Linked DNA regions of Macaca fascicularis. The protein of the gene in region 2 binds, or shares a complex with, the protein of the main gene of each other region. Links are inferred from orthologs where the notes say so. Each region holds a gene or a part of one and is shown on either strand. Other genes may lie near its edges. The genes, in order: LAT2 and STAP1.

Region 1 (9,310 bases), on a different chromosome or scaffold from region 2:
GACCAGGCCTCAGCAAAACACACGCACACCACCCACTGTGGCCTGGTGAATGGAAGTGTGGCCCTCTCCAATGGGCTTCCAATAGCTGTTGCAACTAGAAACAGACCCGGGCCAGGCGCGGTGGCTCACGCCTTTCATCCCAGCACTTTGGGAAGCTGAGGCAGGGAGGATTGATTGAGGTCAAGAGCTTGAGACTAGCCTGGGCAACATGGTGAAATTCTGTCTCTACAAAAAAAAAAATACAAAAAAGGCCAGGCGCGGTGGCTCACGCCTGTAATCCCAACACTTTGGGAGGCCGACGCGGGCGGATCCCGAGGTCAGGAGATCGAGACCATCCTGGGTAACACGGTGAGACCCCCGTCTCTACTAAAAATACAAAAAAATTAGCTGGGCATGATGGTGGGCACCTGTAGTCCCAGCTACTCAGGAGGCTGAGGCAGGGTCACCTGTAGTCCCAGCTACTCAGGAGGCTGAGGCAGGAGAATGGCATGAAACCGGGAGGCGGAGCTTTCAGTGAGCGGAGATCGTGCCACTGTGCTCCAGCCTGGGCAACAGAGCGAGACTCCGTCTCAAAAAAAAAAAAAAAAAAAAAAGGCCGGGCACGGTGGCTTAAGCCTGCAATCCCAGCACTTTGGGAGGCCGAGACGGGCGGATCACGAGGTCAGGAGACCGAGACAATCCTGGCTAACACGGTGAAACCCTGTCTCTACTAAAAAATACAAAAAAAACTAGCCAGGCGAGGTGGCGGGCTCCTGTAGTCCCAGCTACTTGGGAGGCTGAGGCAGGAGAATGGCGTAAACCCGGGAGGCGGAGCTTGCAGTGAGCTGAGATCCGGCCACTGCACTCCAGCCTGGGCGACAGAGCGAGACTCCGTCTAAAAAAAAAAAAAAAAAAAAAAAAAAATATATATATATATATATATATCTCCAGGCATGGTGGTGCATGCCTGTGGTCCCAGCTACTTGGGAGACTGAGGCAGGAGGATTGCTTGAACCCAGGGAGATCGAGGCTGCAGTGAGCTGTGATCATGCCACTGCACTCCAATCTGGGCAACAGAGCGAGACTGTTTCAAAAAATAATAATAAGGAGACCTGGCCCCCTGGAGATGGCCAAGGACAGAGTTGAGGGTGGTGGGGTCTCTGAAGGGGTTGAGCATGGTGGGCATTTGTGGAGCCAACACTTCCGAGTGTCCACTGTCCCCCACCCCAGTGTTCTTCCTGCCCTGGCCACCAGTGAGGAGGGTTTCTCCCCATCCCACAGCCGGGGAAGGTGAGGCTTGGAGCAGTAAACAGGACTTAAAAGGAGGCCCTCCAGCTGGGTGCAGTGGCTCACGCCTATAATCCCAGCACTTTGGGAGGCCAAGGTGGGCAGATCATGAGGTCAGGAGTTCGAGACTAGCCTGACCAATATGGTGAAACCCTGTCTCTACTAAAAATACAAAAATTAGCCAGGTGTGGTGCCTTACGCCTGTAATCCCAGCTACTCAGGAGTCTGAGACAAGAGAATCGCGTGAACCCGGGAGGCGGAGGTTGCAGTGGGCCGAGATCACACCACTGTACCCCAGCCTGGGCAACAGAGCAAGACTCCATCTCAAAAAAGAAAAAAAAAAAAAAAAAGCCCAGGCACGGTGGCTCATGCCTATAATCCCAACACTTTGGGAGGCTGAGGCGGGTGGATCATGAGGTCAGGAGTTCAAGACCAGCCTGGCCAAGATGGTGAAACTCTGTCTCTACTAAAAAAATGCAAAAAATTAGCCAGGCATGGTGGTGGTGGGTGCCTGTAATCCCAGCTACTCAGGAGGCTGAGGCAGAGAATTGCTTGAACCCGGGAGGTGGAAGTTGCAGTGAGCCGAGATCCCACCATTGCACTCCAGGCTGGGCAACAAAAACGAAACTCCATCTCAAAAAAAGAAAAAAAGAGGAGCTCCAGGCTGCCTACCTCCTGCCTTGGGATCCCCGAGGCCCACCAGGACCTGGGCTGTCCCCCTTGAAAGCTGGGTGGCTTTGGACAAGTCTCAGGACCTCTCTGGACTTCCCAAATCCCCGTGGTAAGATGATGCGGAATTTCCATGTGGCCCTGAGCCACGGTCAGGGGCCCATCACAGAGAAGCCACTGGGCCTCTCCCCAAAAGCCAAGTGAGTCAGTGGGAACAAGTGAATTTCCAAGCCGTGTGACTGGCACGACCCACGTCACCCCGGGAGGTTGTCCAAGGAAAGCTCTGCTCTCTCCTCCCCATGGCCCGCCTGGGCACTGCCCTTCTCCCTCCCTGAATCTCACCTTGCCTCAGTGTCCCCAACCCAGGGTGCACCCCCAACCCCTCCATCATGGCCCAAGTTCATCTCAGGCTTGTGAGGTTGGAGCACCTTGTCTTGGGGGAGGGCTCATGGGACCAAATCTAGCCTGCGCCTGAGAGCCCCCAGCCTCAGTTTTCTCATCTATAAAATGGGGTCGGGCTGGGTACAGGGACTCACACCTGTAATTCCAATACTTTGGGAGGCCGAGATGGGAGGATCACTTGGGTTTGAGACTAGCCTGGCCAATGTGGTGAAACCCTGTTTCTACTAGAAATACAAAAACTAGCCAGGCGTGGTGGCACAAGCCTGTAATTCCAGCTACTTGGGAGGCCGAGGCATGAGAATTGCTTGAACCCGGGAGGCGGTGAGTTGCAGTGAGCTGAGATCACGCCAGTGCACTCCGGCATGGGAGACAGAGTGAGACTCCATCTCAAAAATAATAAATAAATAAATAAATAAATAAAATGGGATCAGGCTGGGTGTGGTGGTTCACGCCTGTAATCTCAACACTGGGAGGCCGAGACTGGAGGATCACTTGAGGCCAGGAGTTCGAGACTAGCCTAGACAATGTAACAAGGCCCTGTCTCTACAAAAAAATGAAAAAAATTAGGCAGGCACAATGGTACATGCCTGTGGTTCCAGCTACTCAGTACACTGAGGCAAGACAATCACTTGAGCCCGGGAGTTGGAGTCTGCAGTGAGCCAAGATCGCACCACTGCACTCCAGCCTGGGTGACAGAGCCAGACCCCGTCTCTAAAAACAAAAAGTAAAATTTAACAAACAGTCGTGTGTCTGCCCCCAGACTGAATACATCCTGTGCTGTTGGCCAGGTGCGGTGGTTCACGCCTGTAATCCCAACACTTTGGGAGGCTGAGGTGGGCAAATCACCTGAGGTCAGGAGTTCAAGACCAGCCTGGCCAACATGGTGAAACCCTGTCTCTACTAAAAATAAAAAAATTAGGCTGAGCACAGTGGCTCACGCCTGTAATCCCAGCACTTTGGGAGGCCGAGGCGGGCAGATCACGAGGTCAGGAGATCGAAACCATCCTGGCTAACATGGTGAAACCCCGTCTCTACTAAAAATACAAAAAAATTAGCCAGGTGTAGCGGCGGGTGCCTGTAGTCCCAGCTACTCGGGAGACTGAGGCAGGAGAGTGGTGTGAACCCAGGAGGCGGAGCTTGCAGTGAGCCGAGATCGCGCCACTGCACTCCAGCCTGGGCGACAGAGCAAGACTCCATCTTCAAAAAATAAAAAAGAAATAAAAAATAAAAAATTAGCCAAGTGTGGTGGCACGTGCCTGTACTCCCAGCTACGTGGAAGGGTAAGGCAGGAGAACTGCTTGAACCCAGGAGGTGGAGGTTGTAGTGAGCCGAGATCACACCACTGCACTCCAGCCTGGATGACAGAGTGAGACTCCGTTTAAAAAAATTAAAAAAATAAAACTTCTCTGCTGTCTCCGTGTCTCTGTGTCTCTGTCTCTGTCTCCCTCTCTGCGTGTGTCTCTGTCTCGCTCTTTCACTCTTCCATGTAGGTTCTGAAAGCAGGTGGGGGGAGGTGGTGGGAGCGGAGGGTGGGCCCTCTAAGGCCCCCAGGGGCCAGCAGGGCTGGGCGGGGTGGGGAGTGGGGGCTGCCACAGACCACAGTTCTGCAGAGGCCAAAATAGCACTAAAGGGAAGTGGGCAGTTTTCATATGAACAAAGATTGCCAAGAGCCGGCTTCGGGGAAGCTCTCGGGGCTGGGCTGGAGGACACTCGAGACCACCCTGCCTGTTCCCCCAGCCGAGCTGCGGCTGCGGACACTGGGGTGGGGGAGGGGGCGGCCTGGCTTGAAGCCCCGGACAGCTTTATCCACTGAACTCTGCTCTGGTGTCTGTTGGTTTTTTTCATTTAGTTTTTAATTTTATTGGTTTTTTTTTTTAAGTGATGGGAGTCTTACTATGTTGCCCAGGCTGGTCTCCAGCTCCTGACTTCAAATGATCCTCCCGCCTTGGCCTCCCCAAATGCTGGGATAACAGGTGTGAGTCACCGTGCCAGGCTGGTCCTGTTGCTTTTTCCAAATAACTTTGGGCTTCAAATGAGGCTGGCTGGGATGGGGGGAGGCGGGCGGGTGCAGCAGGGGCCTGAGCAGCCCTAGTCCCAGGGACAGAGCTGAGGGCCAGGCAGGGGGCTGGGCAGGGAGGCAGTGGGGGTTCTCCACCTGACCTGGGGCAGGACCTGGGCCCTGGTCTGTATCTCACCGTTTTTCCCTGACCTGTATAGGGGGTTACAGTCCCATTTCATGGATGAGGAAACCGAGGCTCCCAGGCCAGGGCAGCCACTGTTTTGGCTCTCGGCTGCCCTTCACCAGTCTCTGGCAATGATGGGACCACCCTGGGATGTCCCAAGGCTGTGCAGCCTAGACAGGGGAAGGTGAGGGCAGGAGAGTGGCCAGAAGCCCAGAAACAAACTGATTCCTGAAGTGCCACAGGATCTGGTGCCAGGGCGGGAGTGGCACTGCGGGAGGGGGTGCCAGGCATCCAGGCTTCTTCCCACCCCACCCAGTGGGGCCAGGAGCTCCTGGGGGATGGGGGACAGCCTAAGGACTGAGGCACCTCTGGGAAAGGCTTACCTGAGAGTCCAGGGCTCCTCACCGCGGCCGTCCCATCCTGAGCCCGCACACCTGCCCGAGCTGATGCCAACACCACTGACACTGGCGGGCGGGCAGGGCGGGCTTCCTGCCAGCCACTGAATCATCTGTACATCCGCTGCTCTGCCGGACAGGCTCAGCTATGAACCGGGTGGGGGGGGCAGGGGAGGGAGGGGAGATAGGGGAAGGGGGTGGGAGAGAGAGAGAGGGAAAAAGAGAGAGGAGAGAGAGAGACAGAGGGGGTGGGAGAGAGAAGAGAGGGGGAGAAAGAGGTGGGGGAAGAGAGAGACAGAGGGGGAGGGAGAGAGAGAGAGGACAGAGAGAGAGAAGAGAAACAAAATGAGAGCGAGAAAGAGAAGAAAGAGAGATAGGGCCGGGTGAGGTGGCTCACGCCTGTAATCCCAGCACTTTGAGAGGTCGAGGCGGGTGGATCACCTAAGGTCAGGAGTTCGAGACCAGCCTGGCCAACATGGTGAAACCCCGTCTCTACTAAAAATACAAAATTAGCTGGGTGTGGTGGTGTGCATCTGTAATTCTAGCTACTCAGGAGGCTGAGGCAGGAAAATCGTTTGAATCTCAGAAGCGGAGGTTGCAGTGGGCCGAGATTACACCACTGCACTCTAGCCTGGGCGACAGAGGGAGACTCTGTCTCAGAAAACAGAAGGAAAAAGAGAGAGAGACACAGAGAGCAGAGAGACACAAAGAGAACAGGAAAATACGGACACACACTAAACACACAAACACAAAAAGTCACACAGAGAGGAAGAGAGATACTCTCCAACAGAGAGGGAACAAGATAATGAAACTGAGGTACTCCTGCAGACGGCAGATATGGAGACACACACAGGCAGACATTCACACCCATGGGCCGGGCACGGGGCTCACACCTGTAATCCCAGCACTTTGGGAGGCCGAGGCAGGCAGATCATGAAGTCAGGGTTCGAAACCAGCCTGACCAACGCGGTGAAACCCCAACTGTACTAAAAATACAAAAATTAGCCGGGCATGGTGGTAGGTGCTTGTAATCCCAGCTACTCAGGAGGCTGAGGCAGGAGAATTGCTTGAACCTGGGAGGCGGAGGTTGCAGTGAGCCGAGATCGGGCCACTGCACTCGAGCCTGGGTGACAGAGTGAGACTTCATCTAAAAAAAACCAAAAAACAAACAAACCAAAAAACACACACAGGCAGAAATTCACACCCATGGGCCAGGCATGGTGGCTCACGTCTGTAATCTCTACACTTTGGGAGGCTGAAGCGGGAGAATCACCTGAGGTCTGGAGTTCAAGACCAGCCTGGCCAACATGGTGAAACCCCATCTCTACAAAAAATTTAAAAATTAGCTGGGCATGAGATGGACCAAGAGACACAGAGAGAGACACACAGAAATACACAGAGATGGCCGGGCGCGGTGGCTCAAGCCTGTAATCCCAGCACTTTGGGAGGCCGAGACGGGCGGATCACGAGGTCAGGAGATCGAGACCATCCTGGATAACACAGTGAAACCCCGTCTCTACTAAAAAATACAAAAAAAAATTAGCCGGGCGAGGTGGCGGGCGCCTGTAGTCCCAGCTACGCGGGAGGCTGAGGCAGGAGAATGGCGTGAACCCGGGAGGCGGAGCTTGCAGTGAGCTGAGATCCGGCCACTGTACTCCAGCCTGGGCGACAGAGCCAGACTCCGTCTCAAAAAAAAAAAAAAAAAAAAAAAAAAAAAAGAAATACACAGAGAGAAAGAGAGCCGCAGACTGTCAGAGACACACACAGATGGGGAGACAGCAAGAAACAGGGAGATAGAGGCCAGGTGTGGTGGCTTGCACCTGTAATCCTAACACTTTTGGAGGCCAAGACAGAAGGATTGCTTAAGAACAGGAGTTAGAGACCAGCGTGGACAACAGAGCGAGACCCCATCTCTAATACAATTTTTTTAATTAGCTGGGTGTGGTGGCACGCACCTGTAGTCCCAGTGTTTTGGGAGGCCAAAATGGGAGGATTGCTTGAGCCCAAGAGTTGGAGGCTGCAGTTAGCCATGATCGTGCCACTGCACTCCAGCCTGGGGGACAGAGCAAGACCCTGTCTGTAAAAACAATAAATAGGCTGGGTGTGGTGGCTCAAGCCTGTAATCCCAACACTTCGGGAGGCTGAGGCAGGTGGATCAGCTTAGGTCAGGAGTTCAAGACCAGCCTGGTCAACATGGTGAAACCCCATCTCTACTAAAAATACAAAAATTAACCGGGTGTGGTGGTGCCCCAGCTACTCGGGAGGCTGAGGCAAAAGAATCACTTGAGCCCAGGAGGTGGAGGTTGCAGTGAGCCGAGATTGCGCCATTGCACTCCAGCCTGGGCGACACAGTGAGACTCCATCAAAAAAAAAAAAAAATCAAAATAATAATATTTAATGAATAGCTCAATGGCCTTGGGCAGCTGTTTAATGGTCAACAGCACAAGGCACTCCACCCACTTGCGGGATGTGGCTTTATTGACCTCAGGTGCCAGAGCGTCCTGGGCTCCACAGGGAACTGTCTCACTCAGTCCTCACATCTGTGTGGATGGCAGCCACGGTATCCACCCCAGGGCTGGGCACAGGAGCGGCGCTGGGCAGGAGTGGGCTGTGGTCCCTCTGCCTGTGCTGTGAGCCATTCTCTGCACCCCCTGATGCCAGGAGCCTCATCTGTGCAGTGGAGTGATGAGACCTGCAGGGCTGGGGTGGAGCAGGGCTGGCTGTCCTTCCTTCTCCCACCCTTCAGCGCCCTCTCCATCCGCAGCCTCTGACACGTGTGCCATCCACTCCTCCACCTGTCTTCGGTCACTTATTCCACCTGCCCTGCCCTCGTGGCCTCTGCAGGGGTCTCTCTGTCCCTGCCCTGCCCACCCGTGTCCCTCGTCCTTTGCCTCTGTGTCTGTCTCATCCTCTGAGACTCTTGCTGTCTGACCCTCTGTCTCTATTCCTTGCTCTCTTCTTTCTTTCTTGAGACAGGGTCTCACTCGGTCCGGAGGTGAAGTTGGATTTCAACCCAGATCCCAAAGCCTGGCTTCCTTGCTGGGACCCCCTGTCTGGCTCCTCCTCACACAATGGGAACAAGCTTGCATCAGTTTCCCTCCAGCCCCAGACTATGCACCTGGACAGGGGTTACCTACTGTTCTTTCCCCTTTATATTTATTTATTTATTTATTTTAAGATGGGGTCACACCTGGTCACCCAGGCTGGAGAGCAGTGGTGCAATCTCAGCTCCCTGCAACCTCTGCCTCCCAGACTCAGATGATCCTCCCACCTCAGCCTCCAGAGTTAGCTAGAACCCCAGGTGCGTGCCACCACGCCCAGCTAATTTTTTTTTTTTTTTTTTTGCAGAGACGGTCTTGCTATGTTGCCCAGGCTGGTCTTGAACTCCTGGCCTTAAGCGATCCTCCATCCTCAGTCTCCCAAAGTGCTGGGATTACAGGCGTGAGGCCACTGAGACTGGTCCCATTGAATCTGGTGTCTATCCCACCTGCTGGAGACACCAGGCAAGAGCATGACAGTCCTCCAGCTCCTAAATGTCTGGCATTTCAGAACCTGAACCCCCAGTTCTGGACGACTCTAGGCCCAGGACCCTGGCTCTGGGGTTCCACTCTCAGCTTGGGGCTAGGTTTCTCTTTCAGCCTTGGCGGCGGTGTCCCGGCCAGGCCAGGAGAGGTGGCCGCTGAGACAAGAGGCTGGGCCCGCTGCTGCCACCTCGTGGAGCAGGAGGGTAGCACATGCTCCAGGGGCTGGTTCTGAGAGTTCCCGCAGGCTTCCGTGAGAGGAGCTCACCCTGCCTCCCTCTGTGGCCGGACTAGGACTGAAGCTAGGGCCATCAGATGCCCAAATCTGTGCCTGTGCAAGCAACCGCCACCCTCCCTTATTCCATCCAGCAATGGCAAGTGCACTGGATTCAGGACCACGTTTCCTTCCCACGGTAACCGGTAAGAAGACAGAGGCTTACGGAGCTGAAGCTGGATTTGAACCCAGACCCCAAAGCCTGGCTTCCTCGCTGGGACTCCCTGCCTGGCTCCTCCTCACACAATGGGAACAAGCGTGCATCAGCTTCCCTCCAGCCCCAGACTATGCACCTGGACAGGGGTTACCTACTGTTCTTTTTCTTTCTTCTTTTTTTTTTTTAGATGGGGTCTTGCTTGGTCACCCTGGCTGGAGTGCAGTGGGGCGATCTCAGCTCACTGCAAACTCTGCCTCTCGGGTTCAAGCGATTCTTCTGCCTCAGCCTCCTGAGTAGTTGGAATTACCGGCACCTGCCACTCCGCCCGGTTAATTTTTTATACTTTTAGTAGAGACGGGGTTTCACCATGTTGGACAGGCTGGTCTTAAACTCCTGGATTCAAGTGATCTGCCTGCTCAGTCTCCCAAAGTGCTGGGATTACA
Region 2 (9,226 bases):
AGCAAACATACATAGTTGTGGAAAGGATTAATGATTTATTAAATGGGAGGAAAAACAAGTATAAAAGCACTGAGTTGAAAGCAAAGGCAGCCCTTTAGGAAAAGTAAGGTTACAAATAGCATTAGATTCTGTGACTGCAAACACAGCTGCAAACCTAAGGACAGACCAAACTGGTATTCAGTATGCAGAGACTTACAGGTCACAGTCTTGATTTCATTTCTGATAAGATGTAATAAATACACGTATAAGCTGAGTCATTTATAAATATCAATCTCAATAAAAAACATCTAGGTACCTATTCATATCTAGAGAAATACTTAAAAATTTAAAAAATTAACTTGGAAGGACATGTCTTTGGAATGAAGCACAAACTTCTTTTTTTTTAACAATCGTTTTGTGTTAAATTACTGACATAAGAGAAGAGACTAAAATAAGACTTCTGAATTTATCACTAGCTTAACTAGGAAACCTACAATCAAATGGAATTAGAACTTGAGTTTCAGAAGCAGCATAGTCAAGTGCATCACAATCAAATCCAAGCTAGCCTCCTTAATGGAAGAGGAACCTTGAATAAACTCGGTGGCCAGAACTCACTCATTTGTTTATTTGGGGTTGTTTTAGAGAGACAGGGTCTCGCTCTGTTGCTCAGGCTGGGGTGCAGTGGTGCAATCATAGCTCACTGCAGCCTCGAACTCCAGGGCTCAAGTGATCCTACCACTTCAGCCTCCCCAGTATTTGGGAATACAGGGTGTGCCACCACACCTGGCTAATTTTTTGATTTTGTAGAAATGGGGTTTTGCTATGTTGCCTAGGCTGATCTCCAACTCCTGGCCTCAAGCAATCCTCCTGCCTTGGCCTTCATAAGTGCTGAGATTACAAGCATGAGCCAGCATGCCCCACCTACTCACTCATTTGTGAAGTGAATAAAATAATTTCTACCCAGAAGAGTTACTGTAAGGATCAGAGTGACAGAACACTAAGAGCCTAGAATGGTATCCATTGTATGTTATACCTCAAAAGGTTGTACTCATTATTATATAGTCCACTTAGTCATTGGAGCAACCTATTCAGCTATGCAAGAGAGTAATTATTCTTTTCAGAAAGGAGGGAATAGATTTAAAAATGTGAAGGAATAGCCCAAATTCTAGAATTGGACTGATACTTTTATCTCTTGCCTCCCCAGTGCTCTTTTCTCATTAATATAACTAGCAAAAATGAATTAACTAGCAAAAATGAATTACAATGCAAGCTCCAGTTAAGTTTCTCTTCCCCTCTCCCCAATAAAAAGCTCTCATTCTTTCTTTTTTTGTGAGCAAATAAAGTACATTTACCTAAGGAAGAACGTTGTATAGTGGTCTCCAAAATGGGATGCATAAATTCCAAAGGTGTGCAAGATGATCCATTGGGAGAGAAAATTTTAGAATATTTAATTATATTTTATGTTTCTTAATTCATTTTTTATATATCTTAATTTACATGGAGTAATAGTATGGGACTATATATGTTTATAATTTCTAAATGAATCAATATTCTTATTTTAAGGATCTGTGCTCAAAATGTTTCCCTGAAAGGAGTGTGTTATATTAAAATTCGGAGATTACTGCCGTAGAGAACTGTTTGTGAGCACAACTTAGACAGCCCTAAAAAATTTACTTTTTTTTTTTTCGAGAGGGAGTTTCGCTCTGTCACCCAGGCTGGAGTGCAGTGGCACGATCTTGGCTCACTGCAACCTCTGCCTCCCGGGTTCCAGCGATTCTCCTGCCTCAGCCTTCCCAATAGCTGGGATTACAGGCGTGTACCACCATGCCCAGTTAATTTTTGTGTTTTTAGTAGAGACGGAGTTTCACTAAATGAATTAGAGGTGAGTAGATTAGAGGAATACGATTTTGATACAGTTATGATGATCCCATGCTTATGTTCAGGTTAATAAGACATATTAAACACACTGTTTTTGTTGTTGTTTTGAGACGAGTCTCGCCCTGTAGTCCAGGCTGGAGTGCAGTGGCGCGATCTCGGCTCACTGCAAGCTCCGCCTCCCAGGTTCACGCCATTCTCCTGCCTCAGCCTCCCCAGCAGCTGGGACTACAGGCTCCCGCCGCCTTGCCCAGCTAATTTTTTTGTATTTTTAGTAGAGATGGGGTTTCACCGTGTTAGCCAGGATGATCTCGGTCTCTTGACCTCGTGATCCGCCCGCCTCAGCCTCCCAAAGTGCTGGGATTACAGGCGTGAGCCACCGCGCCCGGTCAACACACACATTTTTTTTTTTTTTTTTTTTTTTTTTTTTTAATTTTAGCACATCACAGATTGAAGGAATTACGAGACATTGCCCAAACTCTCTCTTATTTTCTTTTTCTTTTTTCTTCCTTTCTTTTCTTTCTTTCTTTTTTTTTTTTTAAAGACAGAGTCTTGCTCTGTTGCCAGACTGTAGTGCAGTGGTGCCATCTCAGCTCACTGCAACCTCTGCCTCCCGGGTTCAAGTGATTCTCCTTCCTCAGCCTCCCTAGTAGCTGGAACCACAGGCATGTGCCACCACACCCAGCTAATTTTTGTATTTTTAGTAGAGACGGGGTTTCACCATGTTGACCAGGTTGGTCTCGATCTCCTGACCTCGTGATCTGCCCACCTGGGCCTCCCAGAGTGCTGGGATTACAGGCATGAGCCATGGCGCCTGGCCCACCCAAACTCTGTCTTATTTTCAAACGGTCCCAGAAAAAATGAGCAATTTTCCCATTTGTAAGAACTGCGAGGCCATTGGTATTCCACTGTGGCATTTAATAGTTTTTATTATCAAATACATCTTCCTGGTTAATCCAGAATCATAGTGATGTGGTTTAAATAAATCTTCCCACATTATCTTTTCCATAAAGATTATGTGTTTTTCATGGGTTCTTGACCTCAGATTTAGAAACCTTCTAGAATTGCATGCAAAATGGTATACGTTGGTACATTTTCCTGGGGAAAAGCTCTTTAAATACTTAAAAGTGCCCCACAAAAAAAAATGTCTAAGAAACACCTCTCAACATTCAATGCCTTTATAGACCAGGTTACTCTTCAGTTATATTTTTTCTAGTTTAAATGTTCTAAATGACTTTGGCAGAGACCGAACTTTACATTCTGCAGAGCCTCTCAACTTCCTCCAGCCAATCAGCTCCGAAGATTACTTGGCTATATACCTGTGGCTCACCTTCTGTTCAAAGATTCCCTGGCACTTTGCTGCCAATTGCTTGGAAATTCCACTTATTTTCCTTAGATTTTTCTCATAGCTACTATTTTCAAGTACTCTAATTATCACCATGCTCACTCTCCTTTGAGCCATATTACTTGTAGACCTCAAACTAATTTTAGCACATGAATAAGAATATGGTAAGTGATGAAAGGGTAAGAGAATGAATCTAACCTTTAGTGTGAGCCAGGTGTTTTACATATGCTATCCCTGAAACCACAACATAAGTAGGCATTATTGTCATCCTCTTGCTCTCTTCTCCCTGACATACAAGTAAAAGGTACTTTGTAGCCTAACTCAGTGGCCCACACCTGTAATTCTAGCACGTTGGGAGGCCAAGGTGGGCAGATTGCTGGAGCCCAGGAGTTTGAGACCAACCTGAACAACATGATGAAACCCTGTCTCTATAAACAATACCAACATTAGCTGGGTATGGTACGCACTTGTAGTCCCAGCTACTCAGGAGGCTGAGGCAGGAGAATCACCAGAGCTGGGGATGTTGAGGCTGCATGACTAGTGATTGCACCACAGCACTCCAGCTTGGGCAACAGAGGAGACACTGCCACACACACACACACACACACACACACACACACACACAGGTACTTTATTATAAATTCAAATAGAAACAAGTTAATTTCATTGGAAATATTTATGCCTATGGTTATTCATTCTGCTTCAAATAATGCTTTCTAAGAGAAGGTAAAGAGTAGAAATTCAGTAAGGAAGACATCATTCCTACTATATTAAGCCTCTTGAAAATAAAATCTTTGTGTTTTTTTCATATTCTCCAGAAATAAAAGTGATGCTTGGTGCATAGAAGGCACACAATAAATGCTGAGTGAATAAATTGCTTGAACACCTACTGTGTCCCAGAATGTGCCTTAGGAGGCAAGTAGCAAGTAGTGTACTCTCTATCTTATAGTTGAAGAAACAGTCTCAAGGAGATTGAGTAACTTGCACAAGATAACGAGCAGTAAGTGGCAAAACCATCAGATAAAGACACTCTAAAATTCTTATTCTTTCTGCTAACCATACCAATGACGCACCTTCTTTAAGCATTTTAAAAAAAACTGCTATCATAAACAGTTATTACAAACACCTTGGAAAACATTCAGTGAACAACCAAATTTAAATTACAAATTAGATTTTTTTTTTTTTCTCAACTTCCCTTTCCTGGCAAAGTGTGACTATGTGGCTTACCTGTGGTGACAAGATTAAATTTACATTAAAAGCATGTAGGAACAACCTGAAAATATTCTAGTATAACTGAAAGATAATTATTTATGCATGTTTAACATCCATAACAGAATACAAATTACCATGTCTTTACTCTCAAATAGTAAATGATCTGATTATATATGTAAGAAATATGAATATGCTATTACAGATTTTTCATATATATAATTTTTCCATAAGTATTCATAAATCCTCAGAAAATATATTTTATCATCATTAAACATTTCTGATGGAATTTCTGAAAACCTTAAAGTTTTTCTAGTTTTAGTCAATATACAATTTCATAAAATTTGACGTAAGTTAATGATTTTTTCTTTAATAACAGGCAATTTTGGGCTCATTTCTCTAATTAATTTCAAGTCATCCATAATTACTATTTTAAAAGTAATGATTTTAACTAACTATAAGTTTTAATTATTACATTCAAAAATACAGAATGCTTCATGGATTTTCTTAGAGCAAAGGTATTTGTGTAGCTTAGTGTACTTAATATCCACAGTAGTACCCCAAAAATTAAAAGCCACTATCTTGAATAGTATTTTAGAACACATAACACTATATAATGTTAAACAGTACGAACTTTGTCATTTTAACAATTTTTACAAAAGCCATTTTTAATAATTTGATCATTATAAACTTCAAATGACTGAGAACAGGAGCAGGTTTAATTTCAATAATGATATTTTATCTTTTTTTTTTTTTTTTTTTTTTTTTTTTTTTTTTGAGACGGAGTCTTGCTCTGTAGCCCGGGCTGGAGTGCAGTGGCCAGATCTCAGCTCACTGCAAGCTCCGCCTCCCGGGTTTACGCCATTCTCCTGCCTCAGCCTCCGGAGTAGCTGGGACTACAGGCGCCCGCCACCTCGCCCGGCCAGTTTTTTTTTTGTATTTTTTTAGTAGAGACGGGGTTTCACCGTGTTAGCCAGGATGGTCTCGATCTCCTGACCTCGTGATCCGCCCGTCTCGGCCTCCCAAAGTGCTGGGATTACAGGCTTGAGCCACCGCGCCCGGCGATATTTTATCTTAATGGTACATCTCATCATTGAAGCATAGCAATAAATTGTGGAGAAAATACAGGAAACATTTTATCTCCCAAGCCAAAGTCTTCTGTGATATTTAAATTCTTTGGAATTCTTTGGAAATTTAGCTTATTGAATTTTTTATATTAGTGCCTTAATATTACAACCTGTGTTATTATACATATTATATATTCATAGACATACAGGTTTAAGCCAGACATTGTATTTAAATTATGAAAAATTGGAATCATTTCTGAGCTCAAAGAAGAGAAGATGATTTAATTTCAACAGAAACAAGGGGGTCTCAACACATCACATCACCATGAAATAAATATTAAATTAAAAGAGAAGTCTTAGGTTTAACATTATCATGTATAGACTCACCTGGTATCCTGACCGCTTGACTAACAAAAAACCTTCAAAGTACAAAGGTAGAGCAGTAATCTTTAACCTTTCCTGGAAGATCCTGCGAGGGGCTGGTTTTGGGGGCTTCTTAGCCATCATACCCCTCTCTTTGGTGTGTGGTTTGGTTTCTCGTCTCAAACAAAATGAAATCCTCCTTGTGTGAGAGGAAAAGGCAACTGTTCAAAGAGGAAGTCCCAAATTGCTTTTTAACCACCAACAGGACACACACACACACACACACACACACACACACACACACACACACTTTTTTTTCCATTACTTTTTGTGAGGTAAGAAAGAACAGGTGTAATCTGACTTTTAGAGAGCAATCTCTGGGTAATCTACATATGCTTAGATTTAAAGCAGCAAAATAAACAGAAGATTAACATCACCGAAGATGAAAGAAACAGGTGTAGAGATTGTGAACTTTAGGGGAGACATCAAGAACATAGTTATTCTTTCTACCTTTGTTTTTGTTTATTGCTGTCCATTTTTATTTGCAGAAGACATGACTTGAATAAACTCTGCTTCATTAAAAATTGCTTCATAGAATAATTTTATTAGTACTATTTCTGTTGGTTAAATATTTCAGGGCCAAGTTTTGTGTAAATAAAAAAAATAGTTCTATCTCATGCCCATTTGATGCTTCACTAAATATAAACCGCAGTTATGGGAACATGGAATATGGAATTTTTTTCTTTTTTCTTTTTTTATTTTTGCCAGTAGGTATTCCAAGTACATGAGTTCACAATGAATATTTAGTACTATGTTTTCAATGTATCCTCCAAAGTTTGTGTGTTAGAAACTTAATCCCCAATACAACAGTGTTTAGAAATAGGACCTTTAGAAGGGGATTAAGTCATGAGGCATCTGCCCTCATGAATGAATTAATGAATTAATGCTCTGGGAGTGGGTTTCTTTCTCTTTTTTCAGAGGCAGGGTCTTGCTGTGTTGCCCAGGCTGGAATACACTGATGCAATCACAGCTCACTGCAGTCTTGACCTCTCAGGCTCAAACAATCCTCACATATCAGCCTCCCAAGTAGCTGGGACTACAGGGCAAGTGCCACCACTCCTAGCTAACTTTTTCATTTTTTGTATAGACAGTATCTCCCTATGTTGCCCAGGTTGGTCTCGAACTCTTGGGCTCAAGCGATTCTCCTGCTGTGGCCTCCCAAAGTGCTGGGATTACAGGTGTGAGCCATTGCATCTGGCCTGGAAGTGGGTTTTTTATAAAATCAAGTTTGGCACTTTCTGGCATGCTATCACCCTCTCTTGCTCTTCTATCTTCTGCCATGGAATGATGCCCCGTGAAGGTCCTCATCAGATGTTGGCTTCCAGCTTCCGGAACCATGAGCCAAATACATTTCTGTTCATTATAATTTACCAGTCTGTGGGTATTCTGTTACAGCAACACAAAGGAGTCTAAGATATTTGGCAAAAAATATCTGGCAGAGAAAGCTGTAAGTTTTCAAACTTTTATTTTGTTCTTTGTGCTTTCTGAGCTGCAGACCATTGATTCATGGATGGAGTTCATGAATACTATTGATACTATGATTCATGGATGGAGTTCCCACAGTTATCTAGTGAGATTTATAAAGCTATACTGGGACCAAAGTGCACTCAATGGTTGCATGTAGGCAATGGCCCTTAAGAGATTGGATTTGCCCTAGCACAGTGCAGGAAATGATGGGAGAAAAGAATATTAGAAGGAATTTTGATTTGTCTTACAGGGGTCCTAAGAATTTCTACCATTGCCTATTTCACACTCAGTATTTCAGAACTACTCTAGATTTAGAACAGCCTGGGCCCAGTGAGACCAGCCTATTATTAGAAATCAGAGCAAGCCAGGAGTCTTCAGTCTGATTCTCCTTTCCTAATGGAGAGACTGCATGATTTTCTCCACCAGTGTGGGTCCCACTGATCCTGCAGTGGGATATGAGATGCCAAATTGTCTACAAAGTAAGGTAGAACAATACAGACTGATTATCAGTAAGTTAGAGGAGAGTGTTCAGATGTATTATCAAAATGAAAACAGCTAGAGACAGACATAGAGAGTTGAAGATCCAAAATTACTGCTTTGCTTTTATAAGTTTAGACCTGCTTCTTGCTACCCAACCTTCAAATAATAAAATATAAGTCCAACTTAATTTTTTGAGACAAAAACCATAACTATTTTTTAGTTTCAGTATACTAAGAAAGTGACTTGAGTAACGGGAAAACCTCCTGATTGAATATATGACCTAATCCACTTTCTTGGCAGCTGTTAGTTGTTGTAATACAGGGGGGAAGTGAAAGGAAGGATTAAGAATTGAAAAATGAAAAGAAGGAGCAAGGATAGAGAAAGATAGAATGCTGGGGATCATCAGTGATTAGATACTGACTTTATGGCCAGAAAGTTTCATAGGCAAGAGAAAATAATACCTCTAGAAAAATGTAAAGAGGAGTTTTTTTTTGTTGTTGTCAAATAAACACTTGGTTATGTTTTTTTGCCTTTAAAAAAATAAGCAACAATTTAAAAACAGCTAATCAGACGCAGTAAGTTACTTTGGTCTACTGATTTATACATCAAATTCATTTTTAATATACCAAGAATCTCCCTAAAAAAGACTACAAAATGCAAAAATATTTCTTAAACAATATTAACCAGTTAGTCTTGTCTGCAATTACTAGTATCATTGTACCACTGCACCATTACAATGGAAATCCTCTTACAGATATCTCAAGTCTTAGGCAGTGAATAATAAATTTGTAGGTAAGGAAATACAGTAGAAAATATGTTTGGACATAGGGCTGAAGCTAATTTTGCTACTAATTGACTCTTGAGACCTTGAACAAACCACTTGACTTCTCTGGTGTCATAGCTTCCTCACCCATACAATGAGGCGATGGACTACATGACTTATTGTCTGAAGAGCTGCAAAAGGCTTTTAAGTGGTCTCCTAGTTTCCACTCTTTTTCTTCTCCAATTCATTTAAAATTCAGCCTAATCAAGATACTCCCCTACTGAAAAGACTTTAATGGATTTTCATTGCTTTTGAGATTTCTTTTTAAAATTTTGTCATTGAACATTGAATATTTATTGAATACCAACAATGGGCTCAAGCATGGCACACTGGTCCTTCATAGCAGGGCCCTTTTAAATAATAACTCCTCAAAATACCCTTTGCTCTGGTAATTTCATTTATTCTCAGTTGCCTGAATACCCTATGATCTTCCCTATCACCTCATACCTTTTCAGTCACTGTACTCTGCTTAGATGCCCCTCCTTCCCTTTGTTTATATGGTAATGTCCTACTCATCCTTCAAGACCCAGGCTGAATCTATCCTTAATTCTGAAGATT

What was found.
Region 1: the proteins of STAP1 (region 2) and LAT2 are in contact, whole or in part, in a crystal structure (PDB 3MAZ), measured with the Homo sapiens proteins. The link is inferred for Macaca fascicularis from reciprocal best matches to the Homo sapiens genes STAP1 and LAT2. Residues at the interface, in NP_001304698.1 of Homo sapiens: Arg184, Arg203, Pro204, Gly205, Ser206, Ser212, Ile215, Gln217, Ile219, Lys225, His226, Tyr227, Lys228, Glu239, Leu240, Glu241, Tyr255, Phe256, Glu259, Thr260, Arg261, Asn263, Leu264; in NP_054865.2 of Homo sapiens: Asn134, Ser135, Tyr136, Glu137, Asn138, Val139, Leu140, Ile141, Lys143.

The regions. Positions count from the first base shown.
Region 1 is NC_088377.1:53,094,866-53,104,175, reverse strand, and holds the start of LAT2 (linker for activation of T-cells family member 2), read right to left. Parts: upstream 5,039-9,310; 5' UTR 4,904-5,038; intron 1-4,903. UniProt on the Homo sapiens protein: Involved in FCER1 (high affinity immunoglobulin epsilon receptor)-mediated signaling in mast cells.
Region 2 is NC_088379.1:66,198,023-66,207,248, forward strand, and holds the start of STAP1 (signal-transducing adaptor protein 1), read right to left. Parts: upstream 6,066-9,226; 5' UTR 5,983-6,065; coding exon 5,863-5,982; intron 1-5,862. UniProt on the Homo sapiens protein: In BCR signaling, appears to function as a docking protein acting downstream of TEC and participates in a positive feedback loop by increasing the activity of TEC.